Linked DNA regions of Saccharomyces cerevisiae S288C. The protein of the gene in region 1 interacts with the protein of each later gene in a biochemical or structural test. Each region holds a gene or a part of one and is shown in the gene's direction. Other genes may lie near its edges.

What was found.
Region 2: the proteins of PAB1 (region 1) and TIF4632 form a complex in vitro, tested with the Saccharomyces cerevisiae proteins (6 studies listed by BioGRID).
Region 3: the proteins of PAB1 (region 1) and TIF4631 form a complex in vitro, tested with the Saccharomyces cerevisiae proteins (10 studies listed by BioGRID).
Region 4: the proteins of PAB1 (region 1) and SUP35 form a complex in vitro, tested with the Saccharomyces cerevisiae proteins (3 studies listed by BioGRID).

What each region holds. Positions count from the first base shown.
Region 1 is NC_001137.3:508,254-512,800, forward strand, and holds PAB1 (polyadenylate-binding protein), read left to right. Parts: upstream 1-2,119; coding exon 2,120-3,853; downstream 3,854-4,547. Other genes in the region: chromatin-remodeling ATPase CHD1, read left to right, coding at 1-1,545; aminophospholipid-translocating P4-type ATPase DNF1, read left to right, coding at 4,491-4,547. UniProt on the Saccharomyces cerevisiae protein: Binds the poly(A) tail of mRNA. Appears to be an important mediator of the multiple roles of the poly(A) tail in mRNA biogenesis, stability and translation.
Region 2 is NC_001139.9:406,360-411,642, reverse strand, and holds TIF4632 (translation initiation factor eIF4G), read left to right. Parts: upstream 1-2,038; coding exon 2,039-4,783; downstream 4,784-5,283. Other genes in the region: N-acetylglucosaminyldiphosphodolichol N-acetylglucosaminyltransferase catalytic subunit ALG13, read right to left, coding at 1-91; proteasome regulatory particle base subunit RPT6, read left to right, coding at 357-1,574; tRNA methyltransferase TYW3, read right to left, coding at 5,046-5,283. UniProt on the Saccharomyces cerevisiae protein: Component of the eIF4F complex, which interacts with the mRNA cap structure and serves as an initial point of assembly for the translation apparatus.
Region 3 is NC_001139.9:822,045-827,417, forward strand, and holds TIF4631 (translation initiation factor eIF4G), read left to right. Parts: upstream 1-2,014; coding exon 2,015-4,873; downstream 4,874-5,373. Other genes in the region: YGR161C-C (gag protein), read right to left, coding at 1-971. UniProt on the Saccharomyces cerevisiae protein: Component of the eIF4F complex, which interacts with the mRNA cap structure and serves as an initial point of assembly for the translation apparatus.
Region 4 is NC_001136.10:806,428-811,113, forward strand, and holds SUP35 (translation termination factor GTPase eRF3), read left to right. Parts: upstream 1-1,896; coding exon 1,897-3,954; downstream 3,955-4,686. Other genes in the region: heat shock protein HSP42, read left to right, coding at 194-1,321; ARG82 (inositol polyphosphate multikinase), read right to left, coding at 4,138-4,686. UniProt on the Saccharomyces cerevisiae protein: GTPase component of the eRF1-eRF3-GTP ternary complex, a ternary complex that mediates translation termination in response to the termination codons UAA, UAG and UGA.

The sequences.
Region 1 (4,547 bases):
GAATATGTTAAAGAACAACTTGAAATGATGAATAGAAGGGATAACGCCCTAAAAAAAATAAAAAACAGTGTTAATGGTGATGGGACCGCCGCAAACTCAGATTCTGACGACGATAGTACTTCCAGATCTTCTAGAAGAAGAGCAAGAGCTAATGACATGGACTCTATTGGTGAATCGGAGGTGAGAGCTTTGTATAAAGCTATTTTAAAATTTGGCAACCTAAAGGAGATTTTGGACGAGTTGATTGCAGATGGAACCCTGCCGGTCAAATCATTTGAAAAATACGGTGAAACTTACGATGAAATGATGGAAGCAGCTAAAGACTGTGTACACGAGGAAGAGAAAAATAGAAAAGAAATCTTGGAGAAACTTGAGAAGCATGCTACCGCCTATAGAGCAAAGCTAAAAAGCGGTGAAATAAAAGCAGAGAACCAACCAAAGGATAATCCGTTGACTAGATTATCTTTAAAAAAAAGAGAAAAGAAAGCCGTCCTTTTCAACTTTAAAGGTGTTAAATCTTTAAACGCCGAATCTTTACTAAGTAGAGTGGAGGATTTAAAGTACTTGAAGAACTTGATAAATTCAAACTACAAAGATGATCCATTAAAGTTTAGCCTAGGCAACAACACACCTAAGCCTGTACAGAATTGGTCATCTAATTGGACGAAAGAGGAAGATGAGAAGCTATTGATTGGTGTTTTCAAATATGGATATGGTTCCTGGACACAAATAAGAGACGATCCATTTCTAGGCATTACTGATAAAATATTCTTGAATGAAGTTCACAATCCGGTAGCAAAAAAGTCGGCAAGCTCCTCTGATACAACACCAACACCCTCAAAGAAAGGAAAGGGAATAACGGGTTCTTCAAAAAAAGTACCTGGTGCCATTCACTTGGGCAGAAGAGTTGATTATCTATTATCCTTCTTAAGAGGAGGCCTAAATACAAAGAGTCCCAGTGCTGACATAGGCTCGAAAAAACTCCCTACTGGTCCTTCCAAAAAGAGACAAAGAAAACCTGCTAATCACAGCAAATCCATGACTCCAGAAATTACAAGTTCTGAGCCTGCAAATGGCCCGCCAAGCAAACGTATGAAAGCCCTCCCAAAAGGTCCTGCCGCCTTAATAAATAACACGAGATTGTCTCCAAACAGCCCCACGCCCCCATTAAAGTCCAAGGTTTCCAGAGATAATGGTACAAGGCAATCAAGCAACCCCAGTAGCGGCAGCGCTCACGAAAAAGAATATGACAGCATGGATGAAGAAGACTGTCGACACACAATGAGTGCAATACGTACTTCTTTGAAGCGACTTAGAAGAGGCGGCAAAAGTCTTGATCGTAAGGAATGGGCCAAAATTTTGAAGACCGAATTAACTACGATTGGTAATCATATCGAATCGCAAAAGGGCTCATCGAGAAAGGCAAGCCCAGAAAAATATCGCAAGCACCTTTGGTCTTACAGTGCCAACTTTTGGCCTGCCGACGTTAAGAGTACAAAGCTGATGGCAATGTACGACAAGATAACAGAGTCTCAAAAGAAGTGAAACAATTTTTCTTCACCACATTTTCCATTGTTCCTTCCCCCCATAACTATAAACGTATTTATGTATATATATTTGCGTGTAAGTGTGTGTACTATAGGGCACCGTAAAGTAATAATGCTTAATTAGTTACTACTATGACCATATAAGAGGTCATACTGTATGAAGCCACAAAGCAGATAGATCAATCATGTTTAACGAAAACTGTTAATCGAAGATTATTTCTTTTTTTTTTTCTCTTTCCTTTTTACAAAGAAAATTTTTTTTGCGCTTTTTGCCATCACCATCGCAAGTTCTGGGACAATTGTTCTCTTTCGCTCCAGTTCCAAGGAAAGAGGTTTCTGTTTTACTTAATAGAAAGTGTCATCTTGTATTTTATATCTCTTCTTTCTTGTGTAAAATTCTTTAGTTTTGATTTTGTATTTTTAGGACAGTGAGCTACGAAGTAACATTTTTACTTAATAACCGTTTGAAGCATAGAGCAGGCCCTGGTACCACCACCTAATATCTGGCTTTTTATTCAATAAAAACTCAAAAAAAAAAATCCAAAAAAAACTAAAAAACCAATAAAAATAAAATGGCTGATATTACTGATAAGACAGCTGAACAATTGGAAAACTTGAATATTCAAGATGACCAAAAGCAAGCCGCCACTGGTTCAGAAAGCCAATCTGTTGAAAACTCTTCTGCATCATTATATGTTGGTGACTTAGAACCTTCTGTTTCCGAAGCCCACTTATATGATATCTTCTCTCCAATCGGTTCAGTCTCCTCCATTCGTGTCTGTCGTGATGCCATCACTAAGACCTCTTTGGGCTATGCTTATGTTAACTTTAACGACCATGAAGCCGGCAGAAAAGCAATTGAGCAATTGAACTACACTCCAATCAAGGGTAGATTATGCCGTATTATGTGGTCTCAACGTGACCCATCATTGAGAAAGAAGGGTTCTGGTAACATCTTTATCAAGAACTTGCACCCTGATATTGACAACAAGGCTTTGTATGACACTTTCTCTGTGTTTGGTGACATCTTGTCCAGCAAGATTGCCACCGACGAAAACGGAAAATCCAAGGGTTTTGGGTTTGTTCACTTCGAAGAAGAAGGTGCTGCCAAGGAAGCTATTGATGCTTTGAATGGTATGCTGTTGAACGGTCAAGAAATTTATGTTGCTCCTCACTTGTCCAGAAAGGAACGTGACTCTCAATTGGAAGAGACTAAGGCACATTACACTAACCTTTATGTGAAAAACATCAACTCCGAAACTACTGACGAACAATTCCAAGAATTGTTTGCCAAATTTGGTCCAATTGTTTCTGCCTCTTTGGAAAAGGATGCTGATGGAAAATTGAAGGGTTTCGGGTTTGTTAACTACGAAAAGCATGAAGACGCTGTGAAAGCTGTTGAAGCTTTGAATGACTCTGAACTAAATGGAGAAAAGTTATACGTTGGTCGTGCCCAAAAGAAGAATGAACGTATGCATGTCTTGAAGAAGCAATACGAAGCTTACAGATTGGAAAAAATGGCCAAGTACCAAGGTGTTAATTTGTTTGTTAAGAACTTAGATGACAGCGTTGATGACGAAAAGTTGGAAGAAGAATTTGCTCCATATGGTACTATCACTTCTGCAAAGGTTATGAGAACCGAAAACGGTAAGTCTAAGGGTTTTGGTTTTGTTTGTTTCTCAACTCCAGAGGAAGCTACTAAGGCCATTACAGAAAAGAACCAACAAATTGTTGCTGGTAAGCCATTATACGTTGCCATTGCTCAAAGAAAAGACGTAAGACGTTCTCAATTGGCTCAACAAATCCAAGCCAGAAATCAAATGAGATACCAGCAAGCTACTGCTGCCGCTGCCGCCGCCGCTGCCGGTATGCCAGGTCAATTCATGCCTCCAATGTTCTATGGTGTTATGCCACCAAGAGGTGTTCCATTCAACGGTCCAAACCCACAACAAATGAACCCAATGGGCGGTATGCCAAAGAACGGCATGCCACCTCAATTTAGAAATGGTCCGGTTTACGGCGTCCCCCCACAAGGTGGTTTCCCAAGAAATGCCAACGATAACAACCAATTTTATCAACAAAAGCAAAGACAAGCTTTGGGTGAACAATTATACAAGAAGGTTTCTGCTAAGACTTCAAATGAAGAAGCAGCTGGTAAAATTACTGGTATGATTTTGGATTTGCCACCTCAAGAGGTCTTCCCATTGTTGGAAAGTGATGAATTGTTCGAACAACACTACAAAGAAGCTTCTGCTGCCTATGAGTCTTTCAAAAAGGAGCAAGAACAACAAACTGAGCAAGCTTAATGCTCTATGTAATCACCTACTTCCCTACTCAACAAACTTATCATCTTTTTTTTCTCCCTTCCCTTTTTTTTTTGTCTTAAATACTAGTTATTATCCTTTGTAACCTAAATACTCGCTCTTATTGACAAAATGCAAACGTTTTTTGTTTTTAACTGTCAAGAGAAGTATCATTTTACTATTATTAGACTTCATTACTGAGTTTATTAGTTGCGTTTTTTTGAGGTCTCATTATTAACGGCAGAATGTTAGTTTTCGCGGAAAATAAACAAAATAGCACGGAAAAAAGACCAACAGGTTCCAGGAAAATACTAATTTACAAAAAATTGACAAATCAAGTGAGGGTACCTTGCTATTCATCACCGCATTCAACTAACTGGAGGTACAAAGCTGATAAAATTTCACAGAGCAAAGTCTCACTTAGCTTTTACTTTATGAAATTTGACCTTTAATAACCGAAGGTCATCGTAATACGCAACTCAGACAGTTTTAAGTGGATTTTTAGGGTCGCAATTAAAAACACTCAAAAATTAACCGGAGGTTGAGCAAGGGAAAGCAACCGTAACAGAAATCCTTTATTTCCTCCTGGAAGTGAAATAAAAACGCAGTTAACTTTAAAAAGGAAAGTTAGTTGATAATTATGTCTGGAACTTTTCATGGCGATGGGCATGCTCCCATGTCGCCCTTTGAAGATACA
Region 2 (5,283 bases), on another chromosome or scaffold:
ATTCGTCGCTTAGCACACATGAGACGAGCTTTGGAAATGGCACCGTTGCCCCACACGTAACAAAAAGAGCCTTTTCTTCAATAATACCCATTGTTTGAAAGAGCTGGCTTCTGACTCGTTTGTTTAACCTCTTTTTGCGACTGAAAACTTGTTTTTCTATTTCCCTTTTTCTTCGGTTGGGTTTTTTAATATGAAATCATATTTTGCATACTTCTCTACCCTTATTCTTGTTCGGAAATTTTCGTATTTTAAAACTGTCAAAATGCGAGCGAGGTGGCAAAAGTTGTAATATCAGTAACAGTTAGGTTAGGTTTTATGTAAACGGAACAACAGTATAGTGGGATACTATCACGACAATGACAGCTGCTGTAACATCCTCCAATATAGTATTAGAAACCCACGAAAGTGGTATCAAACCATATTTTGAACAGAAGATCCAAGAAACAGAATTAAAGATCCGCTCCAAAACAGAAAATGTTCGCAGACTGGAAGCTCAAAGGAATGCATTGAATGACAAAGTACGTTTTATCAAGGACGAACTGCGTCTATTACAGGAACCTGGATCTTATGTGGGTGAAGTTATAAAGATCGTGTCTGACAAAAAAGTTCTCGTTAAAGTGCAACCTGAGGGAAAATACATCGTGGATGTTGCAAAAGATATAAACGTGAAGGACTTAAAGGCATCTCAAAGAGTTTGTCTAAGGAGTGACTCTTATATGTTGCATAAAGTTCTTGAGAATAAGGCTGACCCACTAGTTTCGTTGATGATGGTGGAAAAAGTTCCTGATTCCACATACGATATGGTTGGTGGTTTGACAAAGCAAATAAAGGAGATTAAAGAAGTTATTGAATTGCCCGTAAAACATCCTGAACTTTTTGAAAGTTTGGGTATTGCGCAACCAAAGGGTGTCATCTTATATGGCCCCCCTGGTACAGGGAAAACCTTATTGGCAAGAGCTGTCGCACATCACACTGATTGTAAATTCATCAGGGTCAGTGGTGCGGAACTGGTACAAAAGTATATCGGCGAAGGTTCCCGTATGGTCCGTGAGCTGTTTGTGATGGCTAGAGAACATGCTCCCTCAATTATCTTTATGGATGAAATCGATTCCATTGGCTCTACTCGTGTAGAAGGTTCTGGTGGTGGTGATTCAGAAGTTCAAAGAACAATGTTAGAACTACTAAACCAATTGGACGGGTTTGAAACTTCTAAAAATATCAAGATCATAATGGCCACGAATAGACTAGATATTCTAGATCCAGCACTTTTGAGACCCGGTAGAATAGATAGGAAGATTGAATTTCCACCTCCAAGTGTCGCAGCTAGAGCTGAAATTTTAAGAATCCATTCCAGAAAAATGAATCTAACTCGTGGTATCAACTTGAGAAAGGTTGCTGAAAAGATGAACGGTTGTTCTGGTGCCGATGTCAAAGGTGTCTGTACAGAAGCTGGTATGTATGCTTTAAGAGAAAGAAGAATACACGTTACTCAAGAAGACTTCGAACTCGCTGTGGGTAAGGTTATGAACAAGAACCAAGAAACGGCCATTTCTGTCGCCAAGCTGTTCAAGTGATGTATTCGTTTCACTTGGCTCATTGTATATGTTACTTAGTGTATGTGTATAATATCATAGTTTAGCATTAACTAAGAGGCAAAATTATACCGCTGGATATACAGGATATAACAACCGTTTGTCTTTTCGAGAACAGAGGGGCAGAGCATTGCTGCTTTTTCCCCGTCCTGACCTTATTAATAGTAAGCCGGGGGGCCCGTTCCTTTAGTGTATTTTGAAAAATAGTAGGTACCTGCTTTGCAAAAAGGACTGAAAAAAAAAAGATAATAAGTTTTTGATTAGAGGTAAACACAGCAAACGACCACTCAGCCTAGCAGCCTTGACCCTCGAATTTAAAAAGGCGTCTGTGTTGATAGTAACTAGAAGATAACGTTTACTACGGCGACTTCATATTTTTAGGCTGTTTTTACTGTTCCTGAAAGAAAGAATTTATTACAAAGAACAATAGATCAATTGTAGGCACTATGACTGACCAAAGAGGTCCACCGCCCCCACACCCGCAGCAAGCCAATGGCTACAAGAAATTTCCTCCTCATGATAACCAATACTCTGGAGCCAATAATAGTCAGCCAAATAACCACTACAATGAAAATCTTTACAGTGCAAGGGAACCTCACAATAACAAGCAATACCAGTCGAAAAATGGCAAATACGGGACAAATAAATACAATAATCGTAATAATAGTCAAGGAAATGCACAGTACTACAATAACAGATTCAATAATGGCTACAGACTGAATAACAACGACTATAACCCGGCAATGTTGCCAGGTATGCAATGGCCAGCTAACTACTATGCTCCTCAGATGTATTATATACCCCAACAAATGGTTCCAGTTGCTTCTCCACCATATACACACCAACCACTCAACACTAATCCCGAACCTCCCTCTACACCTAAAACTACAAAAATAGAAATCACTACGAAAACTGGTGAACGTTTAAATTTGAAAAAATTCCACGAAGAAAAGAAAGCTTCGAAAGGTGAAGAGAAGAATGATGGGGTAGAGCAGAAATCTAAATCAGGAACCCCTTTTGAAAAGGAGGCAACTCCTGTACTACCTGCTAATGAAGCAGTTAAAGATACGTTAACCGAAACATCTAATGAAAAATCTACCTCTGAAGCGGAAAATACTAAGAGATTATTTTTAGAGCAGGTGAGATTGCGCAAAGCTGCCATGGAAAGAAAGAAAAACGGTTTAATCTCCGAAACTGAGAAGAAGCAAGAAACTTCAAATCATGATAATACTGATACAACTAAGCCCAACTCGGTTATTGAATCTGAACCTATTAAGGAAGCGCCGAAACCAACGGGAGAAGCTAATGAAGTTGTGATTGATGGAAAATCAGGGGCAAGTGTCAAAACTCCACAACATGTAACTGGAAGTGTAACTAAATCCGTGACTTTTAACGAACCCGAGAATGAGAGCAGTTCTCAGGATGTTGATGAGCTTGTTAAAGATGATGATACTACTGAAATTTCGGATACGACTGGTGGAAAAACTGTAAATAAAAGTGACGACGAAACAATAAATTCCGTAATCACCACAGAGGAGAACACAGTGAAGGAGACAGAACCTTCCACTTCCGATATTGAGATGCCAACTGTATCTCAACTACTTGAAACTTTAGGTAAGGCTCAACCAATTTCTGACATATATGAGTTTGCCTATCCGGAAAATGTTGAAAGGCCTGATATCAAATACAAGAAACCAAGCGTTAAGTACACTTATGGCCCTACCTTCTTACTGCAATTCAAAGATAAACTAAAATTCAGGCCTGATCCTGCGTGGGTTGAAGCTGTATCCTCGAAAATTGTTATACCTCCTCATATAGCCAGAAATAAACCAAAAGATAGTGGCAGATTTGGAGGCGATTTCAGAAGTCCATCTATGCGCGGTATGGACCATACTTCCAGTTCAAGAGTTTCATCGAAAAGAAGATCAAAGAGAATGGGTGACGACAGAAGATCTAATAGAGGATATACCTCCAGAAAAGATCGCGAAAAAGCTGCAGAAAAGGCAGAAGAGCAAGCTCCAAAGGAAGAAATCGCCCCGTTGGTTCCGAGTGCTAATAGATGGATACCTAAATCAAGGGTTAAAAAAACAGAAAAGAAGTTAGCTCCTGACGGCAAAACTGAATTATTTGACAAGGAAGAAGTAGAACGAAAAATGAAGTCTCTATTAAACAAGTTAACTTTAGAAATGTTTGATTCAATCTCCTCTGAGATTTTGGATATAGCAAACCAATCAAAGTGGGAAGATGATGGCGAAACATTGAAAATAGTTATTGAACAAATTTTCCACAAGGCTTGTGATGAACCTCATTGGTCTTCAATGTATGCTCAGTTATGTGGCAAAGTGGTCAAAGACCTTGACCCAAACATTAAAGATAAAGAGAACGAAGGAAAGAATGGACCAAAGCTTGTGTTGCATTATTTAGTGGCAAGATGTCACGAAGAATTTGAGAAAGGTTGGGCTGATAAGTTGCCTGCAGGAGAAGATGGTAATCCACTAGAACCTGAAATGATGTCCGATGAGTATTATATTGCGGCTGCCGCCAAGAGAAGAGGGTTAGGTTTAGTACGTTTCATAGGGTACTTATATTGTTTGAACTTATTAACTGGTAAGATGATGTTTGAGTGCTTCCGGAGATTAATGAAAGATCTAAACAACGATCCATCCGAGGAGACATTAGAGTCCGTTATTGAATTACTGAATACTGTGGGTGAACAATTTGAACATGATAAATTTGTTACGCCTCAGGCAACTCTTGAAGGTTCGGTACTACTCGACAATCTATTTATGTTGTTACAACATATCATTGACGGTGGCACCATATCGAACAGAATAAAGTTCAAGTTGATAGACGTGAAGGAATTGAGGGAAATTAAGCATTGGAACAGCGCTAAGAAAGACGCCGGACCAAAGACAATTCAACAAATCCACCAAGAAGAAGAACAATTACGTCAGAAAAAGAACAGTCAGAGATCAAATTCTAGATTCAACAATCACAACCAATCGAACAGCAACAGATATTCTTCTAACAGAAGGAACATGCAAAACACCCAAAGAGATAGTTTTGCTTCCACGAAAACAGGTTCTTTCAGAAATAACCAAAGAAATGCTCGTAAAGTCGAAGAAGTTTCTCAAGCTCCAAGAGCTAATATGTTCGACGCATTAATGAATAACGATGGGGACAGTGATTAAAAGATTTTCTTTTAGAAACGATAAGCTAGTCTTTTTCCTTTTTAATTCATGTGTTAAACCTTTTTGTGCATTAACTAGACCTGATCTTTCATCATATACAGATAAATTTAAGAAAAAAAATAAGTTTTAATGTGTATATTACAAAATAATAACGCTTTTATCCCGTCAAAGATTAACAAGATTATATAACAACGAAAAATGAACGCAAGAGCCACAAGAAAGAAAAATAAAGGCTGAGTAATTCTTGGTATGTCCCCTTTTCTTATAGCACATTTTGTGGGCTCTTAAGTTGACGTTGTCTCTCCATACCTTCTCTTTTCTTTCGTTCTCTCCTCTCTTCCTTTGTTTCGATTGGCGTTATATTGACCTTAGAATTTACATCCGGCGCACAATTTATGAGTTCTTTTTCAATTCTATCATATAGTGCTTGCATTTTCCTGGTATTCTCATCGAATTTGCTTAACGATAAAGAATCCAGAACGCTTACGTATTCTGGAGTT
Region 3 (5,373 bases), on another chromosome or scaffold:
AAAAATTTATATTCGCCAGATAGACCTCTCATAATTAATTGGCATGCGACCTTGTTATTGATATGAATGCCATTATTGTTCAGTCTGTCGATAATGTTTGTGACTTTTGTTTCAAATGCATCTGCAGGTGTACTGCCATTATATTGCAAATTTGCCAGGGTCACAATGTCGTTTGCCTCTTGGGTATCAGATTGCATTTTTTCAATACTTTTGGAAAGAATTTTCATGATATCCGTATAATCAACGGATAGGATGTCTTTGACCCAGGTAGGTAGGAATTGAGAGGGAGCAAATATTTGAAAAGTGTTATACAAGAAGGTGAGTTCATCATCAGTGATCTGACGTACGGGTTTTCCGTTTACTGTCGGAATAATACCACCGAGATTCGAGTTTTGTAAAAATTTGATGTATGTTTTAACCCAATTTGGAAAGTCATTAGGTGAGGTTAACATTGGTGGTGGTCTGACATATTTTTTAGTGGATGTCATATCAGAGTCCGCTGAGGATGAATCAGTAAATGTATTACCTGACTCAGGTGATGGAGTGCTCAGAGGCGTTCCAACTGATGATGGATACTGCGGAAACTGTGATTGTGGCCCAGGTGGAAAGTACATAGGCGACATTTGATAAGGTGTATACGGAATCATAGATGGGTGTCCGTAAAATGACCAACCAGATGGATTGGCTTGGTTTTGGGTCATCATGCACTGCTGTGGGTACGGCCCATTCTGTGGAGGTGGTACTGAAGCAGGTTGAGGAGAGGCATGATGGGGGTTCTCTGGAACAGCTGATGAAGCAGGTGTTGTTGTCTGTTGAGAGTTAGCCTTAGTGGAAGCCTTATCATATTCTTGAATTTTGGAAGCTGAAACGTCTAACGGATCTTGATTTGTGTGGACTTCCTTAGAAGTAACCGAAGCACAGGCGCTACCATGAGATATATGTGGGTAATTAGATAATTGTTGGGATTCCATTGTTGATAAAGGCTATAATATTAGGTATACAGAATATACTAGAAGTTCTCCTCGAGGATATAGGAATCCTCAAAATGGAATCTATATTTCTACATACTAATATTACGATTATTCCTCATTCCGTTTTATATGTTTCATTATCCTATTACATTATCAATCCTTGCACTTCAGCTTCCTCTAACTTCGATGACAGCTTCTCATAACTTATGTCATCATCTTAACACCGTATATGATAATATATTGATAATATAACTATTAGTTGATAGACGATAGTGGATTTTTATTCCAACAAAATCCACATTCTCTTCATATATACATATATTGGTTGTTGTTACTACTTTAGCTTTTTTCCTCTGTTCGTTTCAAGATCTAGCTTGCAATTATCCCTCTAGGTAATAACCAGCATAGTTGTCGTCGTTTCATGTGACCTATTCCCCTTTAATTGGATCAATCTTCCAATAAGAGTGGTTTCGTGGTCTAGTCGGTTATGGCATCTGCTTAACACGCAGAACGTCCCCAGTTCGATCCTGGGCGAAATCATTTTTTGAAGATTACATTAATAAGGCTTTTTTCAATATCTCTGGAACAACAGTTTTTTTTTACTTACTAATAGCTTTAAGGACCCTCTTGGACATCATGATGGCAGACTTCCATCGTAATGGGATGATCATATGATGGGCGCTATCCTCATCGCGACTCGATAACGACGTGAGAAACGATTTTTTTTTTCTTTTTCACCGTATTTTTGTGCGTCCTTTTTCAATTATAGCTTTTTTTTTATTTTTTTTTTTTCTCGTACTGTTTCACTGACAAAAGTTTTTTTTTCAAGAAAAATTTTCGATGCCGCGTTCTCTGTGTGCAACGGATGGATGGTAGATGGAATTTCAATATGTTGCTTGAAATTTTACCAATCTTGATATTGTGATAATTTACTTAATTATGATTCTTCCTCTTCCCTTCAATTTCTTAAAGCTTCTTACTTTACTCCTTCTTGCTCATAAATAAGCAAGGTAAGAGGACAACTGTAATTACCTATTACAATAATGACAGACGAAACTGCTCACCCGACACAATCTGCTTCAAAGCAGGAATCTGCTGCTCTGAAACAGACAGGCGATGACCAGCAGGAATCTCAGCAACAACGTGGCTACACCAACTACAACAATGGTAGCAACTATACCCAAAAGAAGCCTTACAACAGCAACAGACCTCATCAGCAAAGAGGTGGTAAATTTGGACCAAACAGATATAACAACCGTGGCAACTATAATGGTGGCGGTAGTTTCAGAGGTGGACACATGGGAGCCAACAGCTCAAACGTGCCATGGACTGGTTACTATAATAACTACCCCGTTTACTACCAGCCCCAGCAAATGGCGGCCGCTGGTAGTGCCCCTGCTAATCCAATTCCTGTCGAAGAGAAGTCACCTGTTCCAACTAAGATAGAAATCACTACCAAGTCTGGTGAACACTTAGATTTGAAAGAACAGCATAAAGCCAAGCTACAGTCTCAGGAAAGATCTACTGTGTCTCCGCAACCAGAGTCAAAGTTAAAAGAAACTTCTGATTCTACTTCTACTTCTACTCCAACTCCTACCCCTTCCACTAATGACTCTAAGGCCAGTTCTGAAGAAAATATATCTGAAGCTGAAAAGACAAGAAGAAATTTCATCGAGCAAGTTAAACTTCGTAAAGCTGCTTTAGAAAAGAAGAGAAAGGAGCAACTTGAAGGTTCTAGTGGCAACAATAATATTCCAATGAAGACTACCCCAGAAAATGTGGAAGAGAAGGGATCGGACAAACCTGAGGTAACCGAAAAAACCAAGCCTGCTGAAGAAAAATCTGCTGAGCCAGAAGTTAAGCAAGAAACTCCAGCTGAAGAAGGTGAACAAGGAGAAAAGGGCCAAATAAAGGAAGAATCCACTCCAAAGGTGTTAACCTTTGCTGAACGTTTGAAGTTGAAGAAACAACAAAAAGAACGAGAAGAAAAAACGGAGGGGAAGGAAAACAAGGAAGTGCCAGTACAGGAAGAGACTAAGAGCGCCATCGAGTCTGCTCCTGTGCCTCCCAGTGAACAGGTTAAAGAAGAAACTGAGGTCGCCGAAACCGAACAGTCAAACATTGATGAATCTGCAACAACTCCGGCTATCCCTACTAAATCTGATGAAGCTGAAGCTGAAGTTGAGGCTGAAGCAGGTGATGCTGGAACAAAGATTGGACTTGAAGCTGAAATCGAAACTACAACTGATGAAACTGATGATGGTACAAACACCGTTTCTCACATATTGAATGTATTGAAAGATGCTACACCAATTGAAGATGTCTTTTCTTTTAACTATCCAGAAGGTATTGAAGGTCCTGATATCAAATACAAGAAAGAACACGTCAAATATACATATGGCCCAACTTTCTTGCTTCAATTTAAGGACAAACTAAACGTCAAAGCGGACGCCGAATGGGTCCAAAGCACTGCTTCTAAAATTGTCATTCCACCAGGAATGGGCAGAGGAAATAGATCTAGAGATTCTGGCAGATTCGGCAATAATTCTAGTCGTGGCCATGACTTTAGAAATACCTCAGTGAGAAATATGGATGACAGAGCTAATTCAAGAACTTCATCAAAGAGAAGATCAAAGAGAATGAATGACGACAGGAGATCTAATAGATCTTATACATCAAGAAGAGACCGCGAGAGAGGCTCCTACAGAAATGAAGAGAAAAGAGAGGACGATAAACCAAAGGAAGAAGTTGCTCCACTTGTTCCAAGTGCTAATAGGTGGGTGCCAAAATTCAAGTCTAAAAAGACTGAAAAGAAGCTAGCCCCTGACGGAAAGACCGAACTATTGGACAAGGATGAAGTTGAAAGAAAGATGAAGTCACTACTGAATAAACTTACTTTGGAAATGTTCGATGCTATTTCATCTGAAATTTTGGCTATTGCAAACATATCAGTATGGGAAACAAATGGTGAAACGTTAAAGGCTGTGATAGAACAGATTTTCTTAAAGGCCTGTGACGAACCCCATTGGTCTTCTATGTACGCGCAATTATGTGGTAAAGTAGTTAAAGAATTAAACCCAGATATAACAGATGAAACTAATGAAGGTAAGACAGGTCCAAAATTGGTTTTGCATTACTTGGTTGCTAGATGTCATGCCGAATTTGACAAGGGTTGGACCGATAAATTACCCACAAACGAAGATGGTACTCCATTAGAACCTGAGATGATGTCAGAAGAGTACTATGCAGCTGCTTCTGCTAAGAGAAGAGGTTTAGGTTTGGTTCGTTTCATCGGTTTCCTATACCGTCTGAATCTGTTGACTGGAAAGATGATGTTCGAATGTTTCCGTAGACTAATGAAGGATTTGACGGATTCTCCATCTGAAGAAACTCTAGAGTCCGTTGTTGAATTGTTAAATACTGTTGGTGAACAATTTGAGACCGATAGTTTCAGAACGGGTCAAGCAACATTGGAGGGTTCGCAATTGCTCGATAGTTTGTTCGGTATTTTAGACAATATTATTCAAACTGCTAAGATTTCTAGTAGAATCAAGTTCAAGTTGATCGACATTAAAGAATTAAGGCACGACAAGAACTGGAACAGTGATAAGAAGGACAACGGTCCTAAGACCATTCAACAGATTCATGAGGAAGAGGAGAGACAACGTCAATTGAAGAATAATTCAAGATCTAATTCAAGACGTACGAACAACTCCAGTAATAGACACTCTTTCAGAAGGGACGCTCCTCCTGCATCAAAAGATAGCTTTATCACAACCAGAACATATTCTCAAAGAAATAGCCAAAGGGCTCCTCCTCCAAAGGAAGAACCAGCTGCACCAACTTCTACCGCAACAAATATGTTCAGTGCATTAATGGGAGAAAGTGATGACGAAGAGTAACATGAATAGATCATGTTAAGTATCGAAAATGTCACTTGGATACAAGGATGTTGGTAGAAAGTCTAATAAAATAATAAATTAATAGTACAACACAAATTTAATCTTACGTTTAATCCTGCGCTATTAATTGAAAATATATGCATGGAGAAGAAAAAAAAAGTGTCCCTAATTTACCATTGTTATATTTTCTCGATTAATGGGCTCATTTCTTTTCACTAAAAGCTATAAACAAGTTTGATGCATTTTAATGGGTAATCCTCTTACTGTGCTTTTTTTTCCTATCTTGTTCTATATGTCAATGCCTTTCTGTATTTTTATTTATAGCTTCGCCAGTCTTCGTTTACGATATGTTTTATATAATAGACCACTCAGCATATGTATAGTTTTGTATATTTATATCATTTATTAGCTGACGGCTTTAACTTCATATTTCGATTTAATCATGCTACTGCTTCACCATTTGTCCTTTTTTTTACAGAGGCCACGAAAGGAAAGGACCG
Region 4 (4,686 bases), on another chromosome or scaffold:
GCCTTGGCGGCAGGGGGGAGGCCTCTGTGAAGTTAGTTATATAAGACTTGCTGTCATCGTTTTTTTGATCCCGGCAGGAACTATCTTTTATTCTCATACATACGGTCAAGAAGTATAATTATACATAACATAGGGACACGTTCAGGCAATTGTCCATATCCCACACAAATTAAGATCATACCAAGCCGAAGCAATGAGTTTTTATCAACCATCCCTATCTCTTTATGACGTTTTGAACGCATTATCCAACCAAACTGGCCAGAGAGGGCAGCAAGGATATCCTCGCCAACCACAAAGGCCACAGAGATACCATCCCCATTATGGACAAGTGCACGTTGGCGGGCATCATCCTCGTCATCATCCATTGTATAGCAGATACAATGGTGTTCCTAATACCTATTACTACCAGTTCCCTGGACAAGCCTATTACTATAGTCCTGAATACGGTTATGATGACGAGGATGGTGAAGAAGAGGACCAAGACGAAGATATGGTGGGTGACAGCGGCACTACAAGACAGGAAGATGGTGGCGAGGACAGCAACTCGAGAAGATATCCATCATATTACCATTGTAATACTGCCAGGAATAATAGGACCAACCAACAGGCAAACAGTTTAAACGACTTATTAACCGCGTTAATAGGTGTTCCACCATATGAAGGCACTGAACCAGAAATTGAAGCAAATACCGAACAGGAGGGCGAAAAGGGAGAAGAAAAGGATAAGAAGGATAAGTCTGAAGCACCCAAAGAGGAAGCTGGCGAAACCAACAAAGAAAAACCTTTGAATCAGCTGGAGGAATCGTCGAGACCACCATTAGCCAAAAAATCTTCATCGTTCGCTCACCTACAAGCGCCTTCCCCAATACCTGACCCGTTACAAGTATCCAAGCCTGAAACGAGAATGGACTTACCATTTTCACCAGAAGTGAATGTCTATGATACCGAGGACACTTACGTAGTTGTTCTTGCGTTACCAGGTGCTAACTCTAGGGCTTTCCACATTGATTACCATCCATCTTCTCATGAGATGCTCATCAAGGGTAAGATCGAAGACAGAGTGGGCATTGATGAAAAATTCTTGAAGATCACGGAACTAAAATATGGTGCGTTTGAGAGAACCGTTAAATTCCCCGTGCTGCCACGCATTAAGGACGAAGAAATTAAAGCTACTTACAACAACGGTCTACTACAAATTAAGGTGCCTAAAATTGTCAATGACACTGAAAAGCCGAAGCCAAAAAAGAGGATCGCCATTGAGGAAATACCCGACGAAGAATTGGAGTTTGAAGAAAATCCCAACCCTACGGTAGAAAATTGAATATCGTATCTGTTTATACACACATACATACATTTATATTTATAATAAGCGTTAAAATTTCGGCAGAATATCTGTCAACCACACAAAAATCATACAACGAATGGTATATGCTTCATTTCTTTGTTTCGCATTAGCTGCGCTATTTGACTCAAATTATTATTTTTTACTAAGACGACGCGTCACAGTGTTCGAGTCTGTGTCATTTCTTTTGTAATTCTCTTAAACCACTTCATAAAGTTGTGAAGTTCATAGCAAAATTCTTCCGCAAAAAGATGAATCTTAGTTCTCAGCCCACCAAAAGAGGTACATGCTAAGATCATACAGAAGTTATTGTCACTTCTTACCTTGCTCTTAAATGTACATTACAACCGGGTATTATATCTTACATCATCGTATAATATGATCTTTCTTTATGGAGAAAATTTTTTTTTCACTCGACCAAAGCTCCCATTGCTTCTGAAGAGTGTAGTGTATATTGGTACATCTTCTCTTGAAAGACTCCATTGTACTGTAACAAAAAGCGGTTTCTTCATCGACTTGCTCGGAATAACATCTATATCTGCCCACTAGCAACAATGTCGGATTCAAACCAAGGCAACAATCAGCAAAACTACCAGCAATACAGCCAGAACGGTAACCAACAACAAGGTAACAACAGATACCAAGGTTATCAAGCTTACAATGCTCAAGCCCAACCTGCAGGTGGGTACTACCAAAATTACCAAGGTTATTCTGGGTACCAACAAGGTGGCTATCAACAGTACAATCCCGACGCCGGTTACCAGCAACAGTATAATCCTCAAGGAGGCTATCAACAGTACAATCCTCAAGGCGGTTATCAGCAGCAATTCAATCCACAAGGTGGCCGTGGAAATTACAAAAACTTCAACTACAATAACAATTTGCAAGGATATCAAGCTGGTTTCCAACCACAGTCTCAAGGTATGTCTTTGAACGACTTTCAAAAGCAACAAAAGCAGGCCGCTCCCAAACCAAAGAAGACTTTGAAGCTTGTCTCCAGTTCCGGTATCAAGTTGGCCAATGCTACCAAGAAGGTTGGCACAAAACCTGCCGAATCTGATAAGAAAGAGGAAGAGAAGTCTGCTGAAACCAAAGAACCAACTAAAGAGCCAACAAAGGTCGAAGAACCAGTTAAAAAGGAGGAGAAACCAGTCCAGACTGAAGAAAAGACGGAGGAAAAATCGGAACTTCCAAAGGTAGAAGACCTTAAAATCTCTGAATCAACACATAATACCAACAATGCCAATGTTACCAGTGCTGATGCCTTGATCAAGGAACAGGAAGAAGAAGTGGATGACGAAGTTGTTAACGATATGTTTGGTGGTAAAGATCACGTTTCTTTAATTTTCATGGGTCATGTTGATGCCGGTAAATCTACTATGGGTGGTAATCTACTATACTTGACTGGCTCTGTGGATAAGAGAACTATTGAGAAATATGAAAGAGAAGCCAAGGATGCAGGCAGACAAGGTTGGTACTTGTCATGGGTCATGGATACCAACAAAGAAGAAAGAAATGATGGTAAGACTATCGAAGTTGGTAAGGCCTACTTTGAAACTGAAAAAAGGCGTTATACCATATTGGATGCTCCTGGTCATAAAATGTACGTTTCCGAGATGATCGGTGGTGCTTCTCAAGCTGATGTTGGTGTTTTGGTCATTTCCGCCAGAAAGGGTGAGTACGAAACCGGTTTTGAGAGAGGTGGTCAAACTCGTGAACACGCCCTATTGGCCAAGACCCAAGGTGTTAATAAGATGGTTGTCGTCGTAAATAAGATGGATGACCCAACCGTTAACTGGTCTAAGGAACGTTACGACCAATGTGTGAGTAATGTCAGCAATTTCTTGAGAGCAATTGGTTACAACATTAAGACAGACGTTGTATTTATGCCAGTATCCGGCTACAGTGGTGCAAATTTGAAAGATCACGTAGATCCAAAAGAATGCCCATGGTACACCGGCCCAACTCTGTTAGAATATCTGGATACAATGAACCACGTCGACCGTCACATCAATGCTCCATTCATGTTGCCTATTGCCGCTAAGATGAAGGATCTAGGTACCATCGTTGAAGGTAAAATTGAATCCGGTCATATCAAAAAGGGTCAATCCACCCTACTGATGCCTAACAAAACCGCTGTGGAAATTCAAAATATTTACAACGAAACTGAAAATGAAGTTGATATGGCTATGTGTGGTGAGCAAGTTAAACTAAGAATCAAAGGTGTTGAAGAAGAAGACATTTCACCAGGTTTTGTACTAACATCGCCAAAGAACCCTATCAAGAGTGTTACCAAGTTTGTAGCTCAAATTGCTATTGTAGAATTAAAATCTATCATAGCAGCCGGTTTTTCATGTGTTATGCATGTTCATACAGCAATTGAAGAGGTACATATTGTTAAGTTATTGCACAAATTAGAAAAGGGTACCAACCGTAAGTCAAAGAAACCACCTGCTTTTGCTAAGAAGGGTATGAAGGTCATCGCTGTTTTAGAAACTGAAGCTCCAGTTTGTGTGGAAACTTACCAAGATTACCCTCAATTAGGTAGATTCACTTTGAGAGATCAAGGTACCACAATAGCAATTGGTAAAATTGTTAAAATTGCCGAGTAAATTTCTTGCAAACATAAGTAAATGCAAACACAATAATACCGATCATAAAGCATTTTCTTCTATATTAAAAAACAAGGTTTAATAAAGCTGTTATATATATATATATATATATAGACGTATAATTAGTTTAGTTCTTTTTGTACCATATACCATAAACAAGGTAAACTTCACCTCTCAATATATCTAGAATTTCATAAAAATATCTAGCAAGGTTTCAACTCCTTCAATCACGTTTTCATCATAACCCTTCCCCGGCGTTATTTCAGAATGTGCAAAATCTATTAGTGACATGGAACTCAAAGAACCAGTTGTTTTTTTGTCCTTTGGTCCTTCGCTGCTTCCCTCGGCATCATCATCATCATCATCATCATTATCATCATCGTCGTCATCATCGTCTATAAAATCATCTCGCATAAGTTTGTCAACATCATTTAGTAATTCCCATCGCTCCGGGTCTCCTTCGTAAATAAACAAAAGACTACTTGATATCATTCTAACTTCTTCTTCTAGCATAGTATTATAAAACAACTGCAATCTTTTCAAAAATGTTTTCTTCAGTTGATGCTTTCTCGCATCCGACAGATGAGGATTGTTAAAATAAAGTTCAATTGCATCTGAAACATTTTGATCGGTTCTTGAACGACCATACAATTTGTTTATAAAGATATAATCACTGTCTGCTTCTTCTTCGTAATATTCGAGCGAAAGCTGATTCAGCACAGAGGGATTTTT